Sus scrofa: one gene and its partners. The protein of the gene in region 5 purifies or fractionates together with the protein of the main gene of each other region. This does not show direct contact. Links are inferred from orthologs where the notes say so. Each region holds a gene or a part of one and is shown on either strand. Other genes may lie near its edges. The genes, in order: EPB41L5, RECQL4, CAPZB, NAP1L4, UBE2O and RPL23.

Region 1 (4,579 bases), on a different chromosome or scaffold from region 5:
TACATACCTCTCAGTTCTGTTACTTTATAGTTTGGGTTTGATCAATATTAGTGTTTATATTATTATGACTGAAATTATTAGCTGAGTCATTTAGTGCACTGTGATTACTTTTCTTTTGTCTGCACAACCTGTTTTCTCTGTGACCTTATGCAACTCTTAGTTTTGTAAATTAAACTTTAGGTTAGCCAGGTAGTTTTTATGATGTTTCCATTTTATGTCTGCTGTGTTTAACTTGTTTAGATTACTTTGATTAACCTTAATGTTCTTAACAGAGATAAGGAAAGAGGTAGCATTAATTTGACATTGTAAGGAATTATTTATATTAAGCAGCAATTTAAAATCTGTAAGTAATAGAGTATTTGATAAAAACTTATATTTACATTATATTTGTATTTCAGCTGAAATAGGTGATGATTTTTGTATTTTTACTATGAATGCTGAGAGAAGAAAAGGAACTTCCTAGGATTGTTGTTATTATCAAAGGAAACCTCAGTGTATGGCTTTGTCTCCTAATGTTTGGCTATCGTACCTATAATTTATTGGCCCAAAAGACCTGATGAACTTCATGAATGTTTGCCCCTCTCTTACTAGATTAGTGCCCTATAAAATAGTCCAGAAAGTTTAGAAATGCTTTAAGCCATAGTTCTATTTTGTGTTACAGTCTTTAAAAATTATGAATTAAAGTAGCCAGATTTATTGTCTTTAAATTTACTTGGCCAGGTGCTCTTTTTAATAACTCATCTGCTAATGTTGACAGAACTTTCCTAAATGACACCATCTGTCTGACTACAAATTGTAAGGAGACTTCTGATACCTTTTTCTCTCTGGTTTTGTAGTGACCAAGATGCTGAGCTTCTTCCGCAGAACCCTCGGTCGGAGGTCGATGCGTAAACATGCTGAGAAGGAAAGGCTCCGAGAAGCTCAGCGTGCTGCCACGCACATCCCTGCGGCTGGAGATGCGAAGTCTGTCATCACGTGCCGGGTGTCCCTCCTGGATGGCACTGATGTCAGTGTGGACTTGCCGGTATGTAGGTCTTGCTGACCTAAAGATTCTCCCTGGGGTCACTTTTCTTCTTCTGAGCTTTCCACCGCTAACTTCCAGAGGGTTAGGTAACATGGGCTCCCGTGGATCAGGTAGCCTTAGACACCTGGAATGAGAGTATTTCCCTGGGATTAGTGGCAGTTAACTGAAACTTTCAAGTGTTAGGGCAATTACTGGCATGAGTCTTGTATGTGTGACAGCAGTATGGAGTGTACTCTAGTGGATTTCTCACAATCCTTGTTGAGCTAGGATTAAAGCAATAAGAATCTTTGGGGACGATAATGATACTTATGTGGATACTATAAGACTTTTAGTTCTCGATATTTTTTTGTAATTTTCAAAACACTCCTTACTTTCCTTAAAACAAATAATTCCTCCAGTTTGATGTGCTTGCTGAAATTTTAATGAAATGAGGTGAGTAAAAGGACTTTCTTCATACTCCTCAGCTCTGGCTGTTCTATCTCTGTTCTCAAAGTAGTTTGCAAAGTAGGTTTTTCCATACAACCTGTTTTTCCATACATATGCTGTAATCTTTTTTTCAAGAGTGGATGTTACAGTTATATCACATTTTGAGATTTTTTTGCAGTTATGAATAATCATAACTCAAAGTATGAAACAGTCCAATATATTTGAAAGGGGCTAACGTATTCCTTACAGGTCTTTTTTTGAGGGGAGTGGAAGAAGTAGCTGTATGGTTTGGGGGAAGTTGAGTTTTTTCCCGAGCTGTCTGCTCTTTGTCCTGTATTAAAAGATTTACGTAACCAAGCTGTAAAATGTGTGAGCTGAGGTGTCTTTGAATCTTCCACATGTCTTCCTTCCCCACAAACGCTTTTTACTACATACTCATTCACCCAAAATGCAGTTTAAAAAAATCTCTTTGTGCAGCAGGATAGCCTGGGTGTTGCTGCATTACAAAGTTGAATAAGCTCTGCAAGGCCTTAAACTCACAGAGTGAGAGATTAAAGAGTTGGATGGTTTGTTTAAATGAACATTCTGATTGATCAAGTAATTTAGAATGACTAAATATGTTCCTTATACTTTTTTTTTTTTAAATAATGGAATATGAGGGAGTTCCTGTAGTGGCCCAGTAGGTTACAAACCTGACTGGTATCCATGAGGATGCGGGTTCTATCCCTGGCCTCTCTTAGTGGGTTAAGGACCCAGCGTTGTCATGAGTTGTGGTGTAGGTTACAGACGCGGCTCAGATCCAGTGTTGCTGTGGCTGTGGTGTAGGCCAGCAGCCTGCAGCTCATATTTGACCCCTAGCCTGGGAACTCCCATATGCCCAGGAGGGCCCTAAAAAGAAAAAGGAAAAAAAAAAGGAATATGGTAAAATTAAGAACAGGATATCTTGAAATGTTTTGAAGTCATCTTTTTGAGTATTATATTTGTACAGAAATATTTGTATACTGTCTGAAAGACTTTAATGCATTTAAATTTTCTTCCTAAGGGTTTGTCAGACATTCTAATATGTGATACTTTGTGAGGGTAGTTTTCACATTCATTTCTTAATTTGATAAGGATCTTAAGAGTTTTGTGTACTATTCCATTAAAATAGCATTAGGTATGTGGTCAAAAGCTTGAGATTGCTGTATAAGAGAGTGGAAAGAAGTTTCTTATTACCTAATGTCTGAAGTATGAAGTCTCAAGGTGATTGATGGGGAGGCTGATACCAGGAAGGTGGAATTTGAAACGGAGTTTTTTGAAAAGGTGACATAGTGTGGATGAGAAAGCAGCACTGGGTTTTAAATAGTGGAACATAGTGGAACAGACGGCTAGTGACTGGTATGAAATGGCTTCCTTTGCCTCAGGTGCTCAGTAAGCAGGTGTGTGATGCTTGATCAAGGCTAGAAATGTTGGCTGGCCTCACATGCAGACAATTGCTGTGAAAAAGCCAAGATTTGACTCTTTGTGGAACCAGAACAATTAATTGCCTTTTCAGCTCTGCAAGCGAAGTATTAGTATGCTCACTCTAGGTGCTTGTATGGATATAAAGTGGGTGTTTCCCTCCCCGCCACCCCCCTCTGCTGAAATGCCTTAGTAAAGACAAGGGCTAGAGGAATACTCATTTCTATGAAGAAAGGTTTTCTCTTTCTCTTTTCTTTTTTGGCCGCTACACAGCATATGGAGTTCTTGGGCCAGAGATCAGATCACAGTTGTGACCTGTGCCACAGCTATGGCAATGTTGGATCCTTTTACCCACTGTGCCGGGCTGGGGATCAAACCTTCGTCCTGGCACTGCAGAGATATCACTGATCCTGTTGCGCCACAGTAGGAACTGCAGTTTTTTTTCTCTCTCTCTCTGTTTTTGTTTTTGGTTTTTTTTTGGTTTAGCTTCTTAAACAGTCTAGTATGGTTCTGAAAGAAGATTTAGAATTGATCTTAGAAATTGAATGAACACATGCTTATTTCCTATTAGGATGAGGGTCACTACTGATCTTAGCAAGCAGCATGAAACTAAGATGATCACCCAGGCAATAAGTAAGGAATTATCTGTAATTAAGTAGAGAAATTTAGATCTAGCCACCTCAGGTTAATATACACTAGTAGTAATAGTTAATTTCTTCTCTTTCCCTTTCCTCTCAAAATTAGAGGAGGGGATTTAAATACCTTCTACTTATTTTTTTAAAGGAACTAATATAGTGAGAATGCCTTTTGGTAAATGATGATGGCATGAGGTAGAAATTTCTAATCATCTGATTTTAGAATTTACTCTTTGGAAATGCTGCAGTAACTCATTTGATTTAAGTTATATAGACTATTATACCTTTAAATAAATGTAAAAAATTCTATGTTCACAAATTGGAAGACTTAACATTGTTAAGATGGCCTTACACCCAAAACTGACTTGCAGATGCAATGTAATCCTACCAAGGATATCACACACCTTATTTGTAGATGTTGACAAGCTGATTTTTAAAATTCATATGGAATTTCAGGGGGCCCATAATAACCAAAATAATATTTAAAAAGAACAAAGTAGCAGGGCTTATATTTCCCAGTTTTAAAACTTACTTATAGGGGGTTTCCTTTGTAACTCAACAGGTTCGATCCTTGGCCTTGCTCAGTGGATTAAGGATCCAGTGTTGTCATGAGCTGTGGTGTAAGTCGCAGATGTAGCTCAAATCCTGAGTTGTTGTGGCTGTAGCGTAGGCCAGCAGCTGCAGCTCTGATTTGACTCTTCACATGGGAACTTCTGTATGCTACAAGTGAGGCTGTAAAAAGCAAAAACAAAACCAAAAAACCACGAAACCTTACTATAAACCTTACTATAAACCTTACTATATAGTAATCTGGATAGTGTGATTTGTTGGTGCAAGGATAGACATGTAGACCAATGAAACAGTATAGGAAACTGAGAAATAAATCCATAGAGCTATGGGCGATTGATTTTTGACAGGTACCAGAGCCATTCAATGAGGGAATGAATAGTCTTTTCAGCAAATGGTTCTAGAACAGGATAGCCATGTGCAAAAGAATAAAATTGGAACCTTAACTCATACATTGACAAAAATTAACTCAAAGCTGAGTTCCCTG
Region 2 (5,342 bases), on a different chromosome or scaffold from region 5:
AGCCATATCTTCCCTTCCTGAAAAGTAGGAAAAATCTAAGGCCCCTCTCCCTACACACAAGTACTAGACGGATGGGAGAATCCCAGGGGGCTGGAAGGTGCATCACAGGGCCCTCCCCCAGCCTCCTCGGAAGCCCTTGCAGGCCACCCTTAGATTCTGTGCTGCACCGCAAAGAGGAGTTGCCTGTACAGTCGCAACTTAATAAACACCAAGGCAGGCAGAAAGGACCAGGATCCAGGGAACTTTGAGTTCAGAGGGCCTGAGTAACCCAAGCCCTTGACATGAGCCTCACTTCTAGTGGTATCTCTCGGGAGCATCATGAGGCACGGAGACCCCTGCAAATTTACGGAAGCAAGAAGGAGGTTGTTGCCACCTGTCTAAACACCTCTCTCAGCCCTGGAAAACCCTGTTGAGAGACCAATTCTCAAACCAGTGGGATTCAAAGGCCCCAGACCCAGGCCTTTGCTCAGATGGGCGGAGGCCAGAAGGACACGCAAGCTTCCGGGGAGCAAAGAGGAGATGCCTGAGGCCACAGTAAACCTGGGCGTCAGCTCTGCTGCTGACTTCAGCAGCAGCAACAGTTAGCCCGCTTAACTGGAACCTCTCAGGGGACCCTCTTTTCACCCGCCAGGGGAACCTCTTAGGGCCTCTTTACTGTGCGTCAGGCACCTCACCCTCACAACTGCCTCCGGGTCATCTCCCTGGAAACAGATGACAAAACTAAGACCTAGGCATTCCCCACAAAGGTCACAGCCTGGGTGATGAGCTCGGGAAGGGTGGCAGCCTAGCCCCAGAGCCCCTCTCTTGCGGACCTCACACACAAGTCCTTAGGGCACTGGTTCCTGAGGAGCCCGGGACGTCAACCCTCTGCCAGGCTCCGCCTGTGGACAAATCTCGCGAGGACGAGTCATACCTCGCAGCGACGGGACAGACCAACCAAGCACCTGTCACGAGAGGAAACGAAAGCAGCCAGTATGGTCACCGTGGGAGGAGCTTCTCTGCGGTGGCCGCCGCCCCCTCCCGCGGGCCCGCGGCTCAGGCGTTTCCCCGAGGACGCCCCCGCTCGGCTCCTCCAAGCCTCGAGCCATGGGAGGCCCTCGATCCGACGCCCTCCGCCTCCTGCGCCGGGTCTTACCCCTTGAAGCCTGTGCGTTGCCCCCCGAGACCCGAGACCGCTTAGCCCGGCGCCGGGCTCCGGGTTCTCTCCACTCCGCAGCCGCAATGCCCGGGCTCCTGCCTGCGCCTCCCGGACGGCACCGGCCCGGCTACCCGCGCCCGCCTAGTGCGGCCAGGAAGAGCCAGGACGCACACCGCCCCGCCCCGTCCCCGGCCGGTGGCCAACGCTCACTAGCCTCGCAGCCGCCACCACCGCGGACGGCCCCGCCTCGCCGTACGTCGCCCCCAGCCCAGCGCCGCCGCGCGCCGCGATGATGTATTTGCCCGCCCATTGGCTGCCGCACCAGAGCTCCGCGGATAGGCTGCACCGGCCCGGCGGCCGCCGCGCCGCCCCGCCTCCGACCCCGCCGAGCGCCCCCATTGGCTGGCGGCCGGCGTCGCCCTCCCGGCGGGAGATTCGCTGGGCGCGGCAAGCGGGGCTGCCATGGAGCGGCTGCGGGATATACGCGAGCGTCTGCAGGCCTGGGAGCGCGCGTTTCGGCGGCAGCGCGGGCGGCGGCCGGGCCAGGTGCGGGCTACCCATGGGCGGGGAGCTGAGGGTGCCGCCTCAGACTAACGCGCTCCCTTTACAGGAGGACGTGGAGGCGGCGCCAGAGGAGACCCGCGGTGAGCGCGCGGGCGCGGGGCGGAGGGAGCCCTGGGGACGCGGGCGGGGGCTGGTGGGTGAACGAGCGGCCCGCACCCCCGCCGGAGTCTTGACTCCTGAACACCGACTCCCCTGACCCCGCTCTCAGCGCTCTACCGGGAGTACCGCGCTCTGAAGGAGACCCTGGGCCAGGCCGGCGACGTCAGGCCTAACAGCTTGGGGCGTTCGCTTTCCGCGGCGGCCGAAGAGGTACCCGGGCTGGACATCTGAACCTCTCGTTCAGCTCCCTGTACGCCGGTGCCACGAGGAGCCGTGGCCCAGGACACAGAACTTGGGGGGAGGATGGAGAGGGTGGAGCAAGGCCTGCCCTGCCCCCCCCAGGTCTCAGGGCGCGGGTGTGCGGGAGGTGGCTGGAGACACCTCTGGCCCCACGCCGGTTTTTCCGTAGTTTAGGTCAGTACTGTCTCATCCTGCAGACGCTGGAGCCCAGCTGCTGGGGGCCCCACCTGAATCGGGCTGCGACCCAGACTCCCCATTCTACCTCAAGGCTGATCCCTCAGGGATCTGTGCAGGACTATGGGAAGAGGCTTAAGGCCAACCTAAAGGACAGCCTGCAGGTGAGGAGTGAGGGTTGGGCAGGAAAAAATTTTTTGAGTTAAAAAAAGGGGGGGAGGTTGGGCAGGCAGTACATCGAACCTATCTCCAGAGCTGCTTGTTGCCCCAGGGCAGATCACCAGGTACCCGTCCTTGTGAACTCCTCCACACAAGCTCATCAGCTTGCACATGCACACACACAACTCCAGCGTTAACCAGGGCACCACTCCTCGGAAGAGTTCAGGGCAGCCTTTTCTCAGCTTCCTTTCTTCACCTGTCAGTCTTGTTCTCACCCAAGTGTTACGGTGGAGACTCCAGCAGGTTTCAGGCTTCGGCAGCCCAAGGGCCTGAGCTCCTGCTTGCCTGTCTCCCTCCCAGACCGGGCCAGCCCTGGGCCGAGTACCTCGGCTTGAACGAACACCCTTCTCCAAGAAGTCCTCCCCAGGGTCTCCAGGCACAGCGGCTGCCCTCATTTCTCCAGAAGAAGTCGGCAAGGTGCCCTCCCAGCTTCCCAGGACCCAGCTGAGGTCAGGCCGGCTCCAGGAGCTGAGGGCATCCCTAAGCTTGCGGCTGAGCTCCCTAGACCCTGGCTGGCTGCAGCGGTGTCACAGTGGAACCCCAGATTTTCCGGGGGTCCCCAGGGCCCGCGGGCCTGGCGGGGATGCAGAGGAGTCACAGCTGACTTCAGGTGTCCCGTGTGTACTCAGTCCCAGCATTGGCCCCAAGGTACCTTTACTAAGCCCAGAGGCTCCAGCGCCACAAGCAGCTGGTGTCAGTGCAGGCAGTCCCCAGCCTGGTAACAGTCAAGGCAAGAAGCGGAGACTGAGTTGGGAGCTGCAGGGGAGCCCTGCACAGCCCCAGCAGGATGGTAACCAAGGAGGACCCCCACCTGAGGGCGCTGCAGCTGCAGGGCACACAGAAGATTGTCTAGAGGAGCCTGTGCGGGCACAGCCCCTCAGCAACCCCACCACCTCCAGGTATCCCTGCTCTGGCCCCAAGCGGGGTTGCCTTCCGTTAAGTCAAGGCGAGTGGGCATCGCGCACAGCCCACCTGTGCATCTCTTCTAGACCCGCCATCCAGGACAGGGGGAACTATGTGCGGCTCAACATGAAGCAGAAGCGTTATGTGCGGGGCCTGGCCCCACGTAGCAGGCTCCTCCGCAGGCAGGTAAGGAGGTGGTGCCAGGTGTTCCCTCTTACTCATCCTACTTCTCGGTTTGTGACTCTCTTGTGTCCCTGCCAGGTGTGGAAGCAGAAGTGGCAGAAGAAAGGAGAGTCTTTTGGGGGTGGTCAACCCAGGGCCACAGCCAAGGATTCCTGCTTCCGGTGTGGGCAGCTCGGTCACTGGGCATCCCAGTGCCCTCAACCAGGTGAGGCCTCTGCCTTGGGTGGTTGCTTGAGCCCACACTGCTTGGAAGGGGAGGCAGTTCTGTCTCCAGCAAAAAGCCCTACTAACTCCCTACCTCTGGTCCAGAGCCTGCCCCTCAGAAGGAGGGTGGCAAGGATGAGGATGACACAGGGACTCTGCCCATGTTAGAGGAAGTACCCCAGAGAACGGGCACCACCTGCTGCCAACTTCCTGGTGCGTGAAGGAGCGGACAAGAGGTTGGAGCAAGTGGCCTCCTTTCCGGGATGAGCCCAGACCAGCCTGGAGCTTTTGTGCTACCCTGTCCTGTCTGCTCTTGGCAGGTGAGGAAGACACAGAGCCTGCAGGGCCTGAGCTGTCAGTGCCCATGCAGTCATCTATGCCCAGGGCGCCCTGTCCACCACCTCCTCCCGTGCCCCCACTCTACCCGCTGGGACCGTCAGGGCAGGTGGCAGGTGAGTAGCCACCTACCATCCCAGTGCCTTTACTGAGGAGGTGGGGGCGTCTCGGGGCCATACCGCCTGACACCTGTGCCTGCAGACACCCCAGCCGAGGTGTTCCAGGCCCTGGAGCAGCTGGGGCACCAAGCCTTCAACCCTGGACAGGAGCACGTGGTCATGCGGATCCTGTCTGGTCAGTTTGGTTGGCAGGGGGCTGTGGTGGGGCCAAGGCCGGCCACAGGGTGGCACTATTGACCCTCAGAAACATCCAGGTATGTCAACACTGCTGGTGCTGCCCACAGGGGGTGGCAAGTCTCTGTGCTACCAGCTCCCTGCGCTGCTCTACTCCCGGAGAAGCCCTTGCCTCACGTTGGTCATCTCTCCCCTCATGTCACTCATGGATGACCAGGTGGGTGGACAGGGCCCCTGGGCACATGCAGAAGGTGAGAATGGGTAGCCACCGCTCCGTCAACCTACTTGGGCTGTTGGTTCTTGCTCTGCCCCACCCAGCGCTGCAGAGAGCCTGGCTGTTCACAGCCCCAGGCCCCCCAACAGGAGGAACGGCACTGGGGGAATGACACCCCCCCCCCACTACCTGTCTATTCCTGGTGCTCCTGCATCAGGCCCGCAGGTGGCTCTGAACCCTGAGTCGTGGGACCCAGGATCTAGGTTTCTTCTCCTCAGAGGGCCCGAAGTTGAGAGAGCAGTGGTTGGCAGGCCAAACCATCCTAAGAGTTGTGTGGGGAAGGGCCAGGGTGGGTGGCATCATGCTCCTGTATCTGCAGGTGTCTGGCCTGCCCCCAGGCCTGAAGGCGGCCTGCATCCACTCAGGGATGTCGAAGAAGCAGCGGAACTCTGCCCTGCAGAAGGTAAGGGGGCCTAAGGGCCAGATGGGCAGAGGGAGCAGTCCCCTGGAGGCCCTGTGCAGTTGTCCTGACCTTGCCACCCTCAGGCTCGATCAGCCCAGGTACAAGTGCTGATGCTGTCGCCAGAGGCGCTGGCTGGGGCAGGAGCAGCGGGGCTTGCCTTCCTCACCCAGCTGCCCCCGGTTGCTTTCGCCTGCATCGATGAGGCCCACTGCCTCTCTCAGTGGTCTCACAACTTCCGGCCCTGCTACCTGCGAGTCTGCAAGGTAAGCCTTGAGGGGACCGGTGAGTGGGCCAGGGAAGGTGGGGTGGTTG
Region 3 (4,579 bases), on a different chromosome or scaffold from region 5:
CAGGTGCTAAACCAAAACACTTACCTGTGTAGGGTTTGGAGAAAGATTCAGAACAAGAGAAAGAGCCTTCCTGAGTGGGGTCCCTGAGTGTCCTGTCCCTGAGTGTCCTGTTCCCTGGAGGTCACCTGTCATGGCACCGAGCTCTTGATTCTCGAGCTTTCCCCTTCGCAGTTCTGCACTCTGTGGCACTGGTTTGGAGGCAGAGTCCTCGCCACCCTCAGTCTGTCCGATGCCTTTCAGCCCCAGGGCCGGCGCCTCATACATCCTCCTGCCCTCACCTGCCTTCCGTGGCCGCCTGGCCGGGGAGACAGATGGCGTAATCGGGGTGGAGGGTGCAGGGTAACACATGGGGACAGTCTGCCTGAGGAACCTTGGTGGGGAGGGTGCGAGGGGAGCAGACCTTGGTGTGGACCCTGGGGCGCCCAGCAGGCCTGCAGTGGGTTAGAGCGGTGGTGCCCTGCAGCTCAGCAGCGGGAGGAGGGGTAGCTTCTTCTGTCCGATGGTCTCTTGGTGACATCCTGGTGTATGTCACGTTCTAGACTTTGTACAGAGACTTTTTTTTTCAATCTCTTATACAAAGACTTTTTAGTTTGAGAGAGTTTCAGATTTACAGTGAAATTACTCAAAAAAGAGTACAAGGAATTCCTTTATACCCTTTACACACATTCTCTAAACATAGCATTTATCATGTGTATTTTTTCACTATAGAACAGCTTTATGAGCAGAGCGTTGTTGCTCTGTTTTTTTCCTCCTTATCTCCTGTAAAATATCCATCCCAAAGGATAGGAATATCCAACAACAGTGATCACTCACTAGTATACTCCCATTGAGTATCTGTTACATGTCACACACTTCATCTGGAAGGAATGTGAAGCCTGGCGAAGGTTCGTGTTTAGTAAGCTTGCCAAAGGCCACAGAACTAGCGTAAGTGGCTGCTCAAACTCCAGTTCATCTTTAGGACTCCTAATTCCGTGTTCTTTCTGTGACACCCCCCCCCCACCAAAGGGTGCTTTGTCCCCCCCGCAGCCAGCGCTGATCAGGACACATGCGCGTGTCAACCCTGGAACCACTGTAGGGAGGGTCCTTAATCCGAGACGGGCATTTAGATGAATCTTTGCCACATGGCAACCCGTGGGACCTGGGCTGATGCTTTGTAATTTGATGGGCTTAACATCTAATGGGCAGTTGGGCCTGTTTCCTTCAGGTATTTTGAAGGCGGTGTCTCATCTGTCTACCTCTGGGATCTGGATCACGGTTTCGCTGGCGTGATCCTCATAAAGAAGGCTGGAGACGGATCAAAGAAGATCAAAGGCTGCTGGGATTCCATCCACGTGGTGGAAGTGCAGGTACAGCTCCCCGCAGCTGGTGGCCCCAGCGGCGCAGCCTCTTTTCTAGCAGGTGCCTCTCGATGGGGAGTTTCTGTGACGGGTAAACCCCTGCTGGGCCCTTAAAGTGCCCACAGCCATTTGGATAAAGATAGGTCAGGAACACAGTAGTCACTGATGAAAAAGATCAGCAAAGAACTTGAATACACATGACTGCAGATTCGGTCCCTTTAAAAACCAGCTGGGGTGTTAGAAGGTCAGGCCGTGGTGACCTCTGAGGAGGGGGCATGTTAGGAGGACCTGAATTCATGGGCCCCTTCAGGCTCTACTCAGCTCAGGGTTGTGTCTCGTCCTGCAGGAAAAGTCCAGCGGTCGCACCGCGCATTACAAGCTGACCTCCACGGTGATGCTGTGGCTGCAAACCAACAAATCTGGCTCTGGCACCATGAACCTCGGAGGAAGCCTTACCAGACAGGTAGAGTGATCAGGGCCCAGGGAGGCGGCCTCAGAGCTGGCCATGTGTGGAGTTGAGCGGGTGGGTGTCCCCGCAGAGATGTCCTGGGGCCTGACCTCCTCACAGGCTTGTTGGTGAGTCATTCCTGAGATTCAGTAACGGAAGGCTTTATCTCGGGTCAAGACATGTAGGACAGGAGTTCCTGTCGTGGCGCAGCGGAAACGAATCTGACTAGGAACCATGAGGTTGTGCGTTCAATCCTGGTCTTGCTCAGTGGGTCAAGGATCCGGCATTACCGTGAGCTGTGGTGTAGGTCACAGACTTGGCTCAGATCCCATGTGGCTATGGCTGTGATGTAGGCCGGAAGCTGTAGTTCCGATTCGACCCCCAGCCTGGGAACCTCCCTGTGCCGCAGGTGTGGTCCTGAAAAGCAAAAGAAAAAAAAGTAGGACATTCTACTGGTAACGTTTTAGAATGGATTAATTAATTGTAATTAAGTCAAGTTGGGACTTAGATTATGTATTATGGCTCTTGGTTGCAAGTGACAGAAGTAAAACTCTGACTTAAGCAAAAACGGAAACAGGTCTGCTCACGAAGTTGTCGGTTTCAGAGTTCATTCAGCCCGGCTGGGTGTTAGACACAAACGATGGGGGCAGGTCCCTGAATCCCCACATGGGAGCTCCTGGAGGCAGCATCTCACTGCCGGATCGGGTTACCGTCCATCTCAGAGTCCTTTCCTGAGGCCGGAGTCAGGTGACTACCCACCGTGGAGTAGATGGAACAGGGGTGTTGATTCCCTGGAGTAGAATCACCATCAAGGGAGGGGCGGGTACCCCCACCTCTTTTCCCACGCATCACTGCGAGGCCAGGGATTTCCCATTCTGTTCTTGTGCCACTGACCTTTCTTAAAAGGAGGTTTTTACCTGGGCCCTCCCGTTTTGGTCTTTGTCCATTCTGCCAGGGACGGATAGTCACATCTCGCTTTCGGTCGTCCAGGTGTTAGGTCTTCCTTCCGGCTTTGTTCCCTGCATGTTAACTCAGATGACTTGGTGTCTCCATAGTAGTTCAAGGCCAAATTCAGAGCCCTCCAGCATGGCTACCAAAGACTTCCACGGGCGGAGGGATGGGTCTGATAACCATCCTTCTAGGGCACTTGTCTTTAGCTGAGCTTGTTCAGCTCGAGCCACCATGAAATAGAGTTCACATTTCTAGATAGATGCATTTGAGCTCCCTGTGGTTGAACACCGCCTGCTGGCTCCCTGCCGTAGTAGGACCAGGTGACTGCAGGGTCGGCCCTGGCTCTTTCTCACCCTCAGGGCTCAGTGCGTCTCTGCACCTTGGGCTCCTTTGAAGCAGTGAGAAGCACTGCTTTGCCCTGGTTCCCATCTCTAGTCATGAACGTCCTGACCAGGAAGGTGGGCACTCTGAGGGCCTCTCCTCTGCAGCCTGTCCTCTGCTGGAGGGCACCTTCCAGCATCAGCACCACCCAGGAGCTTGTCAGAAATGCAGGGAGCTTGGCCCTACCCAGACCCGCCAAATCAGGGTCTGCCTTTCACTAAGCTCTCCAGATAATTTGTGTGCACAGTAAAATTTGACGAGTGCTACTCTTTGGGGTTCTGCACCCAATTCCTTCTTGTGGGGTGGTTCCCCATGCCACCACGAAGCAGACATCAGCAGGGTGTCCTACAGTTCACCTGCTAGTCTGACGCCCTACCCAGAAGTGGCCTCAGGTCCCACAGGTTAAGGACTTAGTCCCACGAGACCTACTGCCCCCGTTCCCTGAATGCATCTTCAGGCGCTAATGGCAAATTCAGGTGGTCACCTGTGCTTTTGACTTACTGGCTACAAACACCAGGTTCCCACAAGCCCATCCTTGGGTTCAATTTATTTGCTAGAGCAGCTCACAGAACTCGGGAAACCCATTTATTCATTAGATTGCAAGTTTATGACAAAGGATATTAAAGGACACCTTTATAAACCCATCCTTGGTGGGGGTTTGTGGGACTTCATTACAGGGGCATGACAGATTAACTCATTGGCCATCGGTGATTGATTCACTCTCCAGCCCCTGCCTTCCCCTAGTGGACTACAGGTTCCACCACCCCTCTATTCATGGTTGGTTCCCCTGGCAACCAGCCCCCATCTTTAGGTGCCTTCCAGAAGTCGCCTCAGTAACATAAACCCAGTTGTGGTGAAAAGGGGTTTGTTATGCGTGACAAGGCACCTGTTTTTCTTTCTGGCCCCGAAGCAATTGATTTTAGGAACTGAGAACAGGAGACCAAAGAGAACAAAAGATGCTCCCATTGCTCTCCCCGCTCAGGAAATTCCAAAGGTTTGAGAGCTGTGAGCCAGGAACCATGGATGAAGACCAGATGTCCATGAGGAATACAGTCCGGTCATCTGAATGACTAAATACATATTTCGTAGAAGTCACAGTGTCACAGCTGCTGTGTGCCCGTCTCTTGCTCTTAGGCATAGGTGTCTTGAGCAGCTCATCTCCGGGGTGTCTCTTCCAGGGGTGTCTGAGGTGAACTGGGTGCTTGGACTGGAAGGTGCTGCCTCCTCTGAAGCGGACTTGTCTTAACCTCTGCCTCACACCTGCCTACTTTGAGCTTCTAGGCAGGTCTAAGGCCCTTATTTTAGGGTCCATGTTTAGGACTCTTAACAGCCGCGTCCTAAGGAAAGGCCTTCACTCTGCGCAGTGCAGGGTGTGGTGCCCTTTGTGTGACAGGAAGAGGAAGCACAGACCAGAAACCCTCGGCCTCAGAGAAGGTGATCCCGGCAGCAGTCAGCATCCTTG
Region 4 (4,579 bases), on a different chromosome or scaffold from region 5:
AAACAAAAATAAAAAATAAAAAGCTGTATACTATGAAATTCACCCACTTTAAGTATGCAGCTTAGGGACGTCTGGTACATTTTTTGACTTGCGCAACCACGAGGCCCCCCACATCACTCCCCAAATTCTCGAGTCCACTTATTTAAAACGACTAACAAAGCCACTGAATTTAGGAATCAAAGCCCCTCTACTTTGGGGTGAAGTCACACAGGTAACCTCCAATACACCCAACCTGAGGCTCCAAACGAGATCTGCCCCCAAAAAAGAAATTTAAGAACTGTAATTTACGGCTATTCTTACCCCCAAACCAACGTACACGCGACCTTCTAGGTTCACAAATGAACTGCGGAAACAAACGAGCAAAACCAAGTCGTGGAAAACCACCCCAAGAGTAAAGACACAACGGACTGGTCACAGGGACATGAGGTCACACGGGAGAGGACGCCACCCTGCGGCCCCAGGCCCACCAACTGCCTAAAGCAGGGCCCGCACCTCTTCATTGCAAACTGGTTTTTGTTTGGGGAAAATAAAGAGGAAGTGTCTGCCCCCACAGCCACACCGGCACACGGCCGGGAGCTCTGGCCCTCCAGTTCTCCAAGTCAGCTGCTCAGCCTCCACTAGCTCGAAGGGTCCGTCTCCTGTTTTAAAAACTAGGGGGAAACAAGACGCTTCCAGGCCAGGGCTCTGCCCTACGTCTGTGCCTGTCACAGGATACGTGCGTCCCACCCCTCGCCTGCTCCATCAGGGCAGCAGAAAGACCCGAAAGCCAAAGGGAGCGCGCGCCCCGCGCAGCCCGGGCGGGCTCACCTTTGAGCGGGCTGAAGAAGTTGAAGAAGGAATCGCTGGGGACCTGCTTGGTGATGGTCCTGACGGTGCCTCGGCCCTTGTGTTTCTGCTTCTTCTTGATGGTTTTCACCGTCACGTTCTTGCCTTTCTTCCAGTCAATGGCGCACCTACAGGGACGAGACGGCGGTCACGGGGTCGCCCTCCCTGAGAAAAACCGGCCACGTGTGCACAGCCAGCACCCCCGGCTCCAGCCTGACCGGGCGGCCTCCTCCGACAAGCTGCCAGCAAGCGCTGCTCCCCGAGGGCCTGCAGGACCCCCGGGCGGGTCGCGGCGGGCCGTCCCGGCGGAGGCGGGCTCCGGCAGGGCTCTTCCTGAGCCCGAGGCCGACGAAGACCTTGTCGCCTGCTGTCCCCTCACAACTCTCAGCCCGTGAAGCTACCTACTCGGGGACCCGAAATCTCCAGGTGACGGAGTGGCACCAGCTGGAGAAAGCAAACAGGAGGCCGCTGCAGACCTGGCCACCCGCAGGCCTGCACGCTCCGGGGCTGCCGAGCACACTGGCGGGGACCGCGAGCAGCGAGCTTTCGGGCTGCATCACGGTGGACCACAGGTGCCACCTGGCATCGGACACGCCCGGAGAGCCAGCCTTCTCCCACGATGGCCTGGCCCTGGGAAACGACCCGTCTAAATGACTGGCTATTCGAGCCCAGAGGATTTGGACTGAGTTCTGCGTTACACTGGGGATTCGTAAAGCTAAGTGTTTGGTTCCGTGAGTAAGAGTAACCTTTTCAACCAAGCATAAAACAATTCCGGAGTTCCTGTCGTGGCGCAGCAGAAACAAATCTGATCAGTATCCATGAGGTTGCAGGTTCGATCCCTGGCCTCGCTCAGTGGGTTAAGAACCTGGCATTGCCGTGAGCTGTGGTGTAGGTCGCAGACGTGGGTCAGATCTGGTGTTGCTGTGGCTCTGGTGTAGGCTGGTATCTGTAGCTCTGATTGGACCCCCTAGCCTGGGAACCTCCATATGCCCCAGGTGTGGCCGCTGAAAAAAACAAAAACAAACAAACAAAAAAACCCAATTCCCAAACCGTCTCAAACCAACCAAAGGGCATCAATCACCTCCAAACCATTCTCTCCTTGGTGACGCATCTGGACTGAAACCAGCAAGGCGCTCATCGTGCGGCAAACAGCACGCAAACTGCCCACCAGGCCCACAGCGAAGCTACTGCCCAGTACCGCCCGGCTCGGCCCAGTGTGGGCACCGCCACCCACGCCACAAGCCTCTGCTGCGAGGAGTCCGCGAGTCAACGATCAGCGCTGCACCAAGGTGACGAGAAAGCCCCACGCCCTCGCCCAAACGAGGGAACCAGGCCGCCTCTCCAGACCCTGGCACGAGCGACACACGCGCCATTTCCCAGCGCTGGCCATCACCTCCCCACTTAGACGGCTCGTTTATTCCAATCTTTGTCCACTGGGCTTTGTGCTTTATTCTTAAATTCTATCTTACTTGTAAAGCTCTAAAACCATCGGCTTTTTTCTCAGAAAGGGAAGTGGAAAGGGCATTTCCTTACCCGTCACAGTCAACTATTTCAGGGCCTTCAAAGGAAAAGGGATCGGCCTTGTCCGGCTCTGACTTCATCTTGTACGTCTTGGTCAGGACTGAGTTGCTGAAGTAGTCGTTGGGCTCAAAGTGGAATTCTAACACGAAAGACTGAGAACAAAGCCCGGGTAAGTACCGCTTAGGGTCCTGAGCGGCCGTCTCGGGACCCACACAGCACCTCCTGGAAGCCAGCCCCTCCCCAGGCACGCCGCTCCCCGCAAACCTCGCAAGGGGCCGCCACGGCGACAACTCCAGCGCAAAGTCAAGACGTGGCGGCAGGCGGGGAGCAGCCGGCACCCTTCAGTGCGCGAGAAGGGGCACGGGCGGCTCTGACAACCCGGCCGGGGGAGAACGAGCTCCCCCGGGGAGTGGCACGTCTCCCCGCTGCCCCGCCTCCCGCGAGGTCAGTGGGGCGGGAGCTGGAGGGAGCACGCGGGCGTCAGGGAGCCCCGACTCAGGGGCACAACCCCACGTGGGGGAGAAAAGGAAGCAACGAGTGGGCCTCTCCCGACCACGGCAAGGACGAGCTTGTCCTTCGCTCACCAGGCATCCTGCACATCTGGAGCCAAGCACCGGAGAAGTGGGGACAGAGCAGGTGTAAGGACAGAGCAGCAGGAAGAGAGCAGCGGCAACAAAGAAGATACTCACGCTCTTAAATAACAAAGCACAAGAAAAATAAGGAGTTCCCGTGGTGGCGCATCAGACACGGATCCGACTGGGAACCAAGAGGTTGCAGGTTGGATCCCTGGCCTCACTCGGTGTGTTAAGGATCCGGCGTTGCCGCGCGCTGTGGTGTAGGTCGCAGATGCAGCTCGGATCTGGCGTTGCTGTGGCTGTGGTGTAGGCCGGCGGCTCCAGCTCCAATTGGACCCTCAGCCTGGAAACCTCCATATGCTACGGATGCAGCCCAAACAAGAAAAGAAAAATAAAATGAGACGCCCCGTCTGAGCAAAACGTCCAAAGCACACCCAGGACTGGCAAGTGCTCTGGGAAGCCGGGAGCACTCGTACCCCGTGAAGGGCTCTACAGGGGCAGCAGCGAACATTAACCAGCTAAATCGTCTGGGACTGATGAATTGCGCTTTGAGGAATTTGCCCCGGTTGAGAAAGACACTAGGAAGGATGCGGCGACCCGGGGGGAAGACGTCCACCCCCGCCCCACTCATAAAGCCAATGGCAAGCCGGGCTCGGCGCACGGCAGAGGCGGTCGGTCCACAGGACCAAGTCTGGGTTCAAATCCCACCTCTGCCCATCAGTGCTGTGTGACTCTGGGAACTTACGCACTGTCTCTGGGCTTCCATTTCCTCACCTGTGAAATGGAATAAACAACCCTCTCCCTCCACGAGTTGACCTGAGGATGAATCTATGGAAGCCCTTAGAACAGGGCTGGCTTTACAAGCAATACTTGCTGAATGTTAGCTCTTTCCGTTTTTATTCTAATGGTACAACCATCACGGAGGAAAAACTTCTTTTAAAGACCAAAACCAAACCACTTCCACAAAGGGAAGTGGAAAAAGAAGCCTCCAAAGAAGGGGTGGTGCTTGTCTGTGCTTAGCAAGCAGACAAGGGCTCCGAGGGACGGGGGCAGTCCAGCAGGTGCCCAGAAGGGAGGTGGCAGAGTCCGGCCAGGTCTCCACTGACCTCAGGCAGGTGGTGTGGGCTGGAGGGGAAGGGGCTCAAAAAGCCCCTCAACAAGTTGCTGGTCCAGTGAGGACAGAAGGCAGCTACGGGGACCCCAGAACCTCGGGGGACCCCCACTCCAGACCTCGACCCCAGCCCCCTGTAAACAGGATCTTTCGGTTGCCCCTGAAGCAACATTCAGACGGAAGGCAGGAGGCCGTCAGCGGAGAGACCACCGCTACTGAGAAGTGCTTTGGGCCATGACCACAGGTGTGAACAGGCCACCCAGGGGACATGGCACTGCGACACCGCTTCCTTCATCGCTCCCTAACTTCTGTCGGGACAGACTACCTACTTTCCTCCTTCTCTCCCCGTTTCCCCCCTGCCGTTTCTCCAAACGAAGGGTGCTATTCCTTTCTTCCTATTTTCCCACTTTTCTCCTTTCCCCAGGCCTCGGTTTAGTCGAGAGAAAGTCGAACACAACCGGGGGTGACTTACAGGGTGTCAACGGCCCAGCAGAAAAGGGCCCAAGGGTGAGGCGGCCTCGTCCACACACGCGCCTACAGCCAGGTC
Region 5 (4,579 bases):
CCCGCCCTCGGGCCTCCGGTCCTCTCGGGCCGCAGAGGTCCTGCACCTTCCAGGTCAGACGGCAGAGCCCAGCGGCCGGCTCGCTCCCTGCAGCCTGGTTGGCGCCTCTCGTGCGTCGGCCATTCAGACCCGAGGTCAGGACACGTCTTTCGGTCTCCAGCAGAGATTGCTGCTTTCCTCTCTCCTCAAGTGCCTTGTTTTGGTGTATTTTGTTTTTTCACATACTTTTTTTTTTTGGTCTTTTTTTTTTTTTTTTTTTTTTTTGCCGTTTCTTGGGCCGCTCCTGCAGCATATGGAGGTTCCCAGGCTAGGGGGCGAATCGGAGCTGTAGCTGCCAGCCACAGCCACAGCCACAGCAATGCAGGGTCTGAGCTTCGGCTGTGACCTGTATCACAGCTCACAGCTATGCCAGATCCTCAACCCACCGAGTGATGCTAGGAATCGAACCCGCAACCTCATGGTTCCTAGTCGGATTCGTTAACCACTGCGCCACGATGGGAACGCCTGTGTTTTGTTTTTAAAGAATAAGTATCTTTCCAGTAGTTTATTTTTTAAATGATTTCAACTTAACTGAGAAATTACAGGTCCAGCTTCCTCAGCGCACACATTTCGCTCCGTTTGCTCCGGCACCTGTCCCCCCGCCATCTCTCCCTCCCTCGCTTGCGCTCTCTCTTTCCCACTTTGCTGAAATACTTGAAAGCAAGCTGCAGGTAGGATGCCCTGTGACCCCTAAATACTACCGTGTGTATATTTCCCCCAAACAGGAACAGTCTCTTTTTTTTTTGCTATTTCTTTGGGCCGCTCCCGAGGCATATGGAGGTTCCCAGGCGAGGGGTCGAATCGGAGCTTTGGCGACTGGCCTATGCCAGAGCCACAGCAACGCAGGATCCGAGCCGCGTCTGCAACCTATACCACAGCTCACAGCAACGCCGGATCGTCAACCCACTGAGCAAGGGCAGGGACCGAACCCGCAACCTCATGGTTCCTAGTCGGATTCGTTAACCACTGCGCCACGACGGGAACGCCAGGAACAGTCTCCTCTTTAACCACCCTTCAGCCCGCAGACCGGGACCCTAACCCTAACCCTAACCCTTCCTTTTCAGTTGTCCTGGTGACAGACATCCTTTTGCCCCGCCGAGCCAAGGATTCCATCAGGAACCCTTCTTGCCTTTAACTGCTCCTTAATCTCCTCCAGTCTGGACCAGTCCCCCAGTCCTGTTTGTCTTCCTTATCCTGGGTGACCCTGTGTGGGGAGCTGCCTGCTGGGGCCTCGTGTCCAGCCTCGGGCCCTACATTCTCAGCAGAACTGGGCTTTTCCCAGGCTCAGAACGTCCCACAGCCACACTGTAGGGACATGCTTTGCTCCTGGGTCGTGTTGGGCTCTGCCAAGCCTCTTCAGAAGGTCAGCATTCGCCCCTTTGCAAGTGGTAGTATCAGTTCTGAGGGGAGATGCTCAACACCTGGCCCTTCTCCAAGCCCCCCCCCCCGCCTCGCTTCCACCTACAGTCCCCCCCGCACCAGCCCGCACTCGGATGGCCGCTGAGGGGTGGTGTCCTGCTCCCGTCGTCGCCTGCCTGCCTTTGTTAGTCTGGCGCTGATGATTCGGTCTGCTGTGTGGAAGAGCTGTGTCCTCTGTCCCACTTAATGCCTTTTTTCTTGTCTTCTTTTTTGGCTGTCCCACGGCACGCGGAGTCCTGGGCCAGGGATCAGATCCCAGCCATAGTTACCACCTGCGCCGCAGCTGCGGCGGCTCCCGATCCTCTCACCCGCTGCACTGGACCGGGGTTGAATTCGCGTCCTGGCGCTGCGGAGACGCCGCCTATCCTGTTGCACCACAGCGGGACCTCCTGCCCCTTAACTCTTGTTTTTTTTACATCAGTAGGGTGCAGAGACACCTGCCTTACTCAGTTGGTTGTGAAGTTACTACCACTATTTGTTTTGTTGCATAAATGATCTCAGAGTTGGCCAGTAGGACCCCCTCCAAGCTGGCACCTGTGCCCTTTTGACAATGTCCTCACCATTTTTTTCTTCGGCACCTTCTTCCCGTCTTGTATTGTTTTCTGATCCAGCCTGGCATCAGCCGTTTCTCCAAGGAGCCCCGGTTCCTTTCAGAGAAGGGCCTTGCAAAGGCCAAGCTCTGGCTGCAGGCTGGGCGTGCTGATTGCCACTCGCCCCCTTCAGGGCAGCACTGAGGACACACGTCTGTGTGTACACGTGGGCACACGCATGTCTGAGTATGTCCCTGCCTGCTCTGTGTATGCGTTGAGACGTGTGAGTTCGTCTCAGTCCCTCCACCTCCAGTCCAGCACCTCAGACTCCGCCCCTGCCTTTCCCGGTGGTGAGGGGCTCGCCGCTGGACTTCTCCGTGTGGCTCTCTGTGTACTCACACCCCTCGTCTCGTTGGTCGGTGTAAGCCGCTCCCACTCACGTGGCCTCTGTCCTTGGACACCGTCAGGCTTCTGCCTCTGAGTGGGACGGGAGCTGGGGTGCGGCTGACCTTTGTGGGGAAAGCCTGCTGCGGTGGCTGGCGGGTGCAGCCCATCTAGAGCCTTGCTCTGCCAGGAGGCGTGGGTGCCCTGGACACCGGCGCCATCGGCCGTCGCTCAACCCCTGTCCCCTCGGTCTGCAGCCCTTCATGTATGGGGACTACATCGCCTACGACTGCTGGCTGGGGAAGGTCTACGACCTGAAGAACCAGATCATCCTCAAGCTGTCCAACGGCGCCAGGTGCGGCTCGCGTCGCCACGCGCCCTTGTTCGGCGGGGCAGCCTGGGCAGGGGGCGCGGTGTCATCTCGGGGCCTGCGGTGACGGGTTTCCTCCAGGGCCGAGCCGGGCTGCCTCCCGGGCCTGACCCTCTGACTCGGGTTCTGGGCTTCGCTCCACCCTGTCACCCAGGATGCCTGGCAGGGGCTGCCGTGGGCACTTCATGCTCGTGAAGACGCAGCTCTGGGTTAGCGGCTCTTTGTTTTAGGAGAGTCGCTTTTACCAGAGGATGAATCGTGCCTCTTTAGGGCAGCTGACACACTGACGCCCCTGGGCCACCCCGTGGATACCGACCGGCACCGCGTGGGGCCCTGGCCTCACCTCCTGTGAGGTGTCCCCGTGCAGACCAAGCCCTGTTCCCTGTTGCAGGTGCTCCATGAACACAGAAGACGGCGCTAAGCTCTACGACGTCTGCCCGCATGTCAGCGACTCTGTACGTCTGCTTATCCAAAGGGGGGCGGGGGGGCACCCGCAGAGCGCTGGGGTGGGGGGCAGAGGGGCACACCCGCAGAGAGCTAGGGGCGGGGGGCAGGGGGGCACCCGCAGAGAGCTGGGGCAGGCCCAGGCCGGCTGGCCAGGGCTTCTAGGCCAGTAGGCCAGTGCTTTCCCAGGAAAGGGCGGCTGTGTATCTGAACGCGTAAAAGCAATTGCCTGGTGGCACAGGTTCAAGCCCTGGCTCGGGAGCTTCCACACACCAAGGGTGCAAAATAAAAGGTGTAAAAGTTTAGGTGTAGAAAGTAGAACTTTGCAGCTCGTTAACTTTTTATCTCATCCTTTCAAGATCTCCCTTTCTCTTAGTGTGTATGCAGTATTTTACTACAGCATGACTTTTTTTTTTTTTTTTTTTTGGTCTTTTTTCCATTTCTAGGGCTGCTCCTGCGGCATATGGTGGTTCCCAGGCCAGGGGTCTGATTGGAACTGTAGCCACTGGCCTACGCCACAGCCACAGCAATGTGGGATCCGAGCCCCGTCTGTGACCTACACCACAGCTCCTTAACCCACTGAGCAAGGCCACGGATCGAACCTGCAACCTCATGGTTCCTAGTCGGATTTGTTAACCACTGCGCCACGACGGGAACTCCTACAGCTCCAGTTTGACCCCTGGCCTAGGAACTTCCATGTGTGGCCCTAAAAAGAAAAAAGGATTTTTTTAACTAAAAAATAAAAAGGGGAGTTCCCGGCTCAGATCCCTTGTTGCCGTGAGCTATGGTGTGGGCCGGAGGCTACAGCTCCAATTGGACCCCTAGCCTGGGAACCTCCATATGCCACAGGAGTGGCCCTAGAAAAGGCAAAAAGACAAAAATAAATAAATAAAAAGGAAAGAAAATACAGGGGCTCAGACAGCTTCAAGGACCCCTGCCGTCTAGAGCTTTGGTCCTGAAAGTGTTGCCCCTGGGACAGTGCCGTTGTTGTGGCCTGAGAGCTCGTTAGCAGCAGGACGGTTCAAACGTGCGTTTTATAGGCTCCGCGGGCATTATTTGTATGCATCTGAGGCCTGGGAGGTGCTGCCCTGGAGCCTTAGGGAGGTGGCGTGTGGACAGCATGGGGTGCAGGTGGGGAGCACCGTCCCCCAGGAGGACCGCTCACAGGGACTTTCCTCCGGCCCCGATCCTGCAGGGCCTCTTCTTCGATGACTCCTACGGCTTCTACCCAGGCCAGGTGCTCATCGGCCCTGCCAAGATCTTCTCCAGCGTCCAGTGGCTCTCGGGGGTCAAGCCGGTGCTCAGCACCAAGAGCAAGTTCCGCGTGGTGGTGGAAGAGGTAGGGCCTGGAGCGCCTCCCAGCCGGAAGTGGCCTGCTCTGAGGACAGAGGGA
Region 6 (5,325 bases), about 18 Mb from region 5:
TGTATAGGCTGCAGACATGGCTTGAATCTAGTGCTGCTCTGCAAGTGCAGCTCTGATTCAATGACCCTTAGCCTGGGAACTTTTTTTTTTTTTTTTGGCTTTTTAGGTCCACACCCATGGCATATGGAGGTTCCCAGGCTAGGGGTCAAATCGGAGCTACAACTGCCGGCCTACACCACAGCCACGCATGATCCCTAACCCACTGAATGAGGCCAGGGATTGAACCCGCAACTTCATGGTTCCCAGTCAGATTTGTTTCCGCTGCACCACGATGGGAACTCCTATATGCCACATTTTGTGGCCCTAAAAAGGGGGAGAAAAACCAAACACGTTGCTTCAACCAACCTCAGGCAATGCAGCATAGTAACATATACTTAATGGAAAAAAAAAAAAAAACTATACTTAAGTGGACGCATGCAATTCAAGGGTCACCTGAATTCATTTAGAAGAAACAAGGACCAAAGCATTATAGTTGAAGTGTATGTTCTCTCTGTCCCACACTGATTGAGACAGACAGCATATCCTGCTGCCATCTCACTCAGTGGTGGCCAATTGCTCTGCCCTTCTCTGACAGCTCCCCAGGCCACAGATCAGACCCAGCAAGTGTTCTAAGAGGAACGCCTGTCCAGCTGCATGCTGATCCCGATCTACACATTGGTTAACTGATGTTTAACCACAAAGCTACTTATTCCTTGTCTCCCAAGCCCTCAAGTGAGTATTGGAGGCAAACAAAGTAAGATTTCTGACCAAAAGGCCTGGGAGTGGGATGCAGGCCTACAGTGACACAGGCCAGACACCTATCACATTTGTACTGCATATCGAGATGGCTAGGGGAGTTCCCTTTGTGGCTCAGTGGTTAACGAACCCGACTAGCACCCATGAGGACTTGGGTTCGATCAGTGGGCTATGGATATCTAGCATTGCCATGAGCTGTGGTGTAGGTTGAAGACATGGCTCAGATCCTACGTTGCTGTAGTTCTGGCGTAGGTCAGAGGCTACAGCTCCAATTCGACCCCTAGGCCTGGAACCTCCATATGCTGCTGATGTGCCCTAAAAGACAAAAAAATAAAAAGAGATGGCCAGGACTTCTCAGGAAGAGCAAAGACACCCCAGGGCAGAGAAAAACTAAGCAGGCACAGGAGAAAATTCCAGGAACTGAGCTCAAGTGCATTGAGAATCAGAAGCTCTAAACGTCTAAAGAGAGTAGGTCAGAGGTGCCGAAGTCCTGCCCAATTGGTATACCTAGTGATAAAACTTTTGGGGGTAGCCTGATGATTAAGCAATGAACAGCTGTTCTAGTTTCTACTACATATCATTGTTTCTTTTCAAATTAGTAGTTTCAGGAAAAGAAATTTGCCAGAGGTAGACATTAAGTTTTAAATCTGTGATCTCACCTGGTTGAGCTCAAAACACACCTACAAAAATGTATTTACCAAATACCACCATGTTCATTTGCAGCCAAGGAATTTATTATCTACAGACAATGCTTATGGAACTCAAGTAGAAGAGACAGCTCTAAATGTCACATGCACAAATTACCACCTGGTTTAAGGGTTATGTGGAGAGGGGAGATTGGGGTAAGGAAAGGTGTCAACAAGGTTGTGAGCTGAAGATGAGACTTAGCGAATTCCTGGTAGAAAGAACAAAGGAATAGTAAGAGCTGAGGAACACACCATGAACCTGGGTATTCTAAAAGGATAAGCTTTTGCTTTCATAGGTATGTGAGGTGGTCTGTAACTCTCTGCTGAACTTGCTGGGGAAATACCAAGGTAAATATGTGGAACCCCCAGCTTAAGATGGAAGCCAACTGAGAACTGAAGTACGGGAGTGATAGGATTTACATTTTAAGGAGTTCCTATCATGGCACAGCAGAAACGAATCCAACTAGGAACCATGAGGTTGCGAGATTGATCCCTGGCCTTGGCCAACGGGTTAACAATCTGCGGTGGCTGTTAGTTGTGGTGTAGGTCGCAGACGCAGATCAGATCCTGTCTGATTCTGGCATAGGTTGGCAGCTGCAGCTCCAATTCGACTCCTAGTCTGGGAACCTCCATATGCCAGGGTGTGGCCCTAAAAAGCAAAAAAAAAAAAAAAAAAAAAAAAAATTTAAAGATAGGCTTTGGCTTCAGTGTAGCAAACAAATTTAAGCAGTAAGGGAGGAAGCTAAGATTAGAGAATGATGTCTAAAGACAGCAGGAACAGAATTTAAATTGCAGGTATTTATCTTACAATGTCTTTCAAAGGAAATCAAGCATTAAGAGGCCCTGAGAGGTTAAAAAACAAAACAAAACAAAACACACACCAAACTATTGCTTCATTCTCCAATAAAGGGAGAAGTGGTTCAACGGTCCAGAAACCATAAGGAAGATTTGGTCTGTCTACTCACCCTTCTTTCTGAGCTCTGGTTTCCCTTTCTTGACTGTGGCCATCACCATGTCACCCACACCAGCAGCAGGAAGTCTATTCAATCGTCCCTTGATCCCCTTCACAGAAATGATATAGAGGTTTTTGGCTCCTACGAAAGGATGTAAACAAAAATGGTCTTTTTGAAGGGCCGATTAGGCAGTCCTGCATTTCCGACACTTCCAAGGCCTCTCTCTCCACTCACACCCCCAAGCGGTTCCACTCCCCCACCAGGTGAAATAGTTTGTCACACCACCGATTGAAGCAAAACAGCACAACTTGCTGCCGCTTCACCCAAAAGTGGTGTTTTTACTGTGCCCTTTCTTGGCGGCTCAGAAGGTCACGAGCAAAAGGCCCTCTGAGTGCTTTTAGAAAGGGGAATTTGGCAGGGTTGCAGCTTAAGATCTCACCCGTGTTATCAGCACAGTTGATCACTGCTCCAACCGGAAGACCCAAGGAAATCCGGAACTTAGCACCAGAGGACCCACCACGTCCTGTTAGTAGGGCGACAGAAGAGAGATCACTGTCCAGTCATGGTTCGGAGTTCCCTTCGCATTCTCAAGCTATGAATTCATTCGCATGTGTTTTGGGAAACGGTACACTATAGATTCGATTTCTCTAGGATTCCACTTACCCCCTCTCCAATGCCACTCAGTTCTCAGGGCAAATATCCAATTCCTCCCTCCTACAACCTCACATTGAGATTAGGGGGCCTGGACGACACAATTCCCGATCCAACTTTTGTACCACGCAGTTCTTCCTCCAAGGCGGGAGACCGCACACAAGTCGCCCGCTCTGCGGCTTAAGCTAGCCTGACTCCAACACCATTACTGCAGTGCTAGGCGCAGGGCAACCTCCCGGGGGATTCACGACTAGAATCACGACTGGATCCTGCCAACTCAATCCTCCAGGCCCCTCCGCCATTTCGGGGACTGTCCTGGTGCCCATCCACTCCCTCTCCGCCCCAAAGGAAAGCAGAGTGCCCCAGCTGCCCGTCGCCGCAGCTCCGGGTGAGGCCAGCAGCCACTTCGCGACAGATGGCGAAGGATCTCCCCAAGCCAAAGCCTCACCTCGCTTCGACATCTTGATGGCCCGACAAGGACGAAAAGGAAGTAAGAACAAAGGACCTTGGGATATGAAGCCGACGCCCCGCCCATTCAGGTCACGTGATCCAGAGTTGCCGTGTCCGCCCCTTCCCCGGGGCGTTCTCTTATTACGTCATAAATCGTGGACGTTGCCGTCTCTCGCTTCGAAGTGGGCAGTGGAATCTTTGAAGGCTACAGAAGAGAAAGAGTGCTTGAGTACCTACTGTACGAGTTGGAAAGTAGTTGTTGGGGACACAGAAACATTGGTTTAATTTATCGGACAACCTCTTCTGAGCACTAAGTGTGTACCAGGGATTTCGATGGACGCTAGAGGTTCAGAAATGATTAAAACATCCGTGCTGTATAAGGGCCCCCAAAAAACATGTGGCGGGGGGGGCGGAGTGAGAAAGAGCTCGAAATAGTTTCATTAGGATGTGATATAACTGAGAAGTGCCATTCCAGCGCTACAGATAATTCCTTATATGTGTGCTTGGTCCCACATTCATCTATATTTTAGAGTCTTGTTTTACTCATTACTCTTTTCATTGTTTGTCTTTCCCATTCTTCAAAGGAGCTCTGTTGATATAGTCATTCAAATATTTATTGAATGACTATTTTATGCCAGATACTGTCTTGGACATACACTAGACTACGTCAAAGGAAACAGATCTCTCTCTCTCTCTCTCTCTCTCTCTCTCTATATATATATATATATATATTTTTTTTTTTTTTTTTTTCTTTTTGCCTTTTCCAGGGCTGCTCCCATGGCACATGGAGGCTCCCAGGCCAGGGGTCCAATCAAAGATGTTGCCGCTGGCCTACGCCAGAGCTACAGCAACGCGGGATCTGAGCCGCGTCTGCAACCCACACCACAACTCACGGCAATGCCGGATCTTCAACCCACTGAGCAAGGCCCGAAACCTCATGGTTCCTAGTCCGATTCACCAACCACTGCGCCAAAATGGGAACTCCCAGATCAATATTCTTGACCTTAGGAAGCTTACATTCTGCCAGGGTGGCAGTGAAAGTGGATATTAGATACTAAATCATAGATGTAATAATTGCACTATATAGTATGTTAGATGGTTTAAGTATTATGAAAATAAAAGTAGAAAAGGGGGATCTGGGAGTGGGAGGAGGGGCAGACTGCAATTCAAAATCAGTGGGGGCTTCATGGAAGAAGTGTGACCTTAGTGCAAAGGTTTTAAGCTGAGGGACAATATGATTGTCTAGAGAAGAGCAATCCAGATAGAGTCATCAGCCAATGAAAGGCCCTAAGGCAGAAATGTGCCTGAGCGATATGAGGACCAGCAAGGAACCTAGGAGTGACTGGACAGAGTAAATGAAGGGAAAAGTAGTAGGACAGAAGGTCAGAAGTAATGGAACTTTAGGTCATTGTACACCGCTATTGACTTTGATATGTACAGACTGAAATGGGAAACGGTTAACTCATAAGCATTGAAGGGACATGATCTGAAAATATGTCAGAAGGATCACTCTACTTGAGACTAGAGAGAGCACAAAGATACAAGTAAGGAGGTCTATTGGGAGGCTCTTGCAATAACCCAGGAGAGAAAAACGGTGGTGGTTTGGACTTAACGTGCTAGCAGTATAAGTAATATGATGTGATCAGATTCCAGATGTGTTTCAGAGGTAAAGCCAACAAAGTGTGGGGGTGTTAAAGAACGAGAAGAATAAAAAATGAGGAATTTCCGTCTAGTGGAAATGAATCTGACTAGCATCTAAGAGGATACAGGTTTGCTCCCTGGCCTTGCTCAGTGGGTTAATGATCTGGCATTGCTGTGAGCTGTGGTGTAGGTCACAGATGCAGTTTGGA

Evidence for each region.
Region 1: the proteins of UBE2O (region 5) and EPB41L5 purify together in Homo sapiens (affinity purification with mass spectrometry; 3 studies listed by BioGRID and IntAct, counting the BioPlex papers as one, with this or other methods). This does not show direct contact. The link is inferred for Sus scrofa from reciprocal best matches to the Homo sapiens genes UBE2O and EPB41L5.
Region 2: the proteins of UBE2O (region 5) and RECQL4 purify together in Homo sapiens (affinity purification with mass spectrometry; 3 studies listed by BioGRID, with this or other methods). This does not show direct contact. The link is inferred for Sus scrofa from reciprocal best matches to the Homo sapiens genes UBE2O and RECQL4.
Region 3: the proteins of UBE2O (region 5) and CAPZB purify together in Homo sapiens (affinity purification with mass spectrometry; 3 studies listed by BioGRID and IntAct, with this or other methods). This does not show direct contact. The link is inferred for Sus scrofa from reciprocal best matches to the Homo sapiens genes UBE2O and CAPZB.
Region 4: the proteins of UBE2O (region 5) and NAP1L4 purify together in Homo sapiens (affinity purification with mass spectrometry; 3 studies listed by BioGRID, with this or other methods). This does not show direct contact. The link is inferred for Sus scrofa from reciprocal best matches to the Homo sapiens genes UBE2O and NAP1L4.
Region 6: the proteins of UBE2O (region 5) and RPL23 purify together in Homo sapiens (affinity purification with mass spectrometry; 3 studies listed by BioGRID and IntAct, with this or other methods). This does not show direct contact. The link is inferred for Sus scrofa from reciprocal best matches to the Homo sapiens genes UBE2O and RPL23.

What each region holds. Positions count from the first base shown.
Region 1 is NC_010457.5:31,285,561-31,290,139, reverse strand, and holds part of EPB41L5 (band 4.1-like protein 5), read left to right. Parts: intron 1-836; 5' UTR 837-844; coding exon 845-1,024; intron 1,025-4,579. UniProt on the Homo sapiens protein: Plays a role in the formation and organization of tight junctions during the establishment of polarity in epithelial cells.
Region 2 is NC_010446.5:285,661-291,002, forward strand, and holds the start of RECQL4 (ATP-dependent DNA helicase Q4), read left to right. Parts: upstream 1-1,545; 5' UTR 1,546-1,600; coding exon 1,601-1,684; intron 1,685-1,748; coding exon 1,749-1,782; intron 1,783-1,910; coding exon 1,911-2,011; intron 2,012-2,238; coding exon 2,239-2,379; intron 2,380-2,734; coding exon 2,735-3,523; intron 3,524-3,598; coding exon 3,599-3,725; intron 3,726-3,829; coding exon 3,830-3,937; intron 3,938-4,044; coding exon 4,045-4,176; intron 4,177-4,261; coding exon 4,262-4,354; intron 4,355-4,433; coding exon 4,434-4,570; intron 4,571-4,946; coding exon 4,947-5,030; intron 5,031-5,113; coding exon 5,114-5,293; intron 5,294-5,342. UniProt on the Homo sapiens protein: An ATP-dependent DNA helicase which unwinds dsDNA with a 3'-overhang in a 3'-5' direction. Does not unwind more than 18 bp of dsDNA. May modulate chromosome segregation. The N-terminal domain (residues 1-54) binds DNA Y-shaped DNA better than ss- or dsDNA.
Region 3 is NC_010448.4:77,793,655-77,798,233, reverse strand, and holds part of CAPZB (F-actin-capping protein subunit beta), read left to right. Parts: intron 1-1,204; coding exon 1,205-1,346; intron 1,347-1,683; coding exon 1,684-1,800; intron 1,801-4,579. UniProt on the Homo sapiens protein: F-actin-capping proteins bind in a Ca(2+)-independent manner to the fast growing ends of actin filaments (barbed end) thereby blocking the exchange of subunits at these ends.
Region 4 is NC_010444.4:2,078,830-2,083,408, forward strand, and holds part of NAP1L4 (nucleosome assembly protein 1-like 4), read right to left. Parts: intron 2,499-4,579; coding exon 2,359-2,498; intron 954-2,358; coding exon 808-953; intron 1-807. UniProt on the Homo sapiens protein: Acts as a histone chaperone in nucleosome assembly.
Region 5 is NC_010454.4:5,099,401-5,103,979, forward strand, and holds part of UBE2O ((E3-independent) E2 ubiquitin-conjugating enzyme), read left to right. Parts: intron 1-2,629; coding exon 2,630-2,727; intron 2,728-3,133; coding exon 3,134-3,197; intron 3,198-4,381; coding exon 4,382-4,525; intron 4,526-4,579. UniProt on the Homo sapiens protein: E2/E3 hybrid ubiquitin-protein ligase that displays both E2 and E3 ligase activities and mediates monoubiquitination of target proteins. Negatively regulates TRAF6-mediated NF-kappa-B activation independently of its E2 activity.
Region 6 is NC_010454.4:23,278,152-23,283,476, reverse strand, and holds the start of RPL23 (60S ribosomal protein L23), read right to left. Parts: upstream 3,513-5,325; 5' UTR 3,487-3,512; coding exon 3,474-3,486; intron 2,898-3,473; coding exon 2,814-2,897; intron 2,516-2,813; coding exon 2,387-2,515; intron 1-2,386.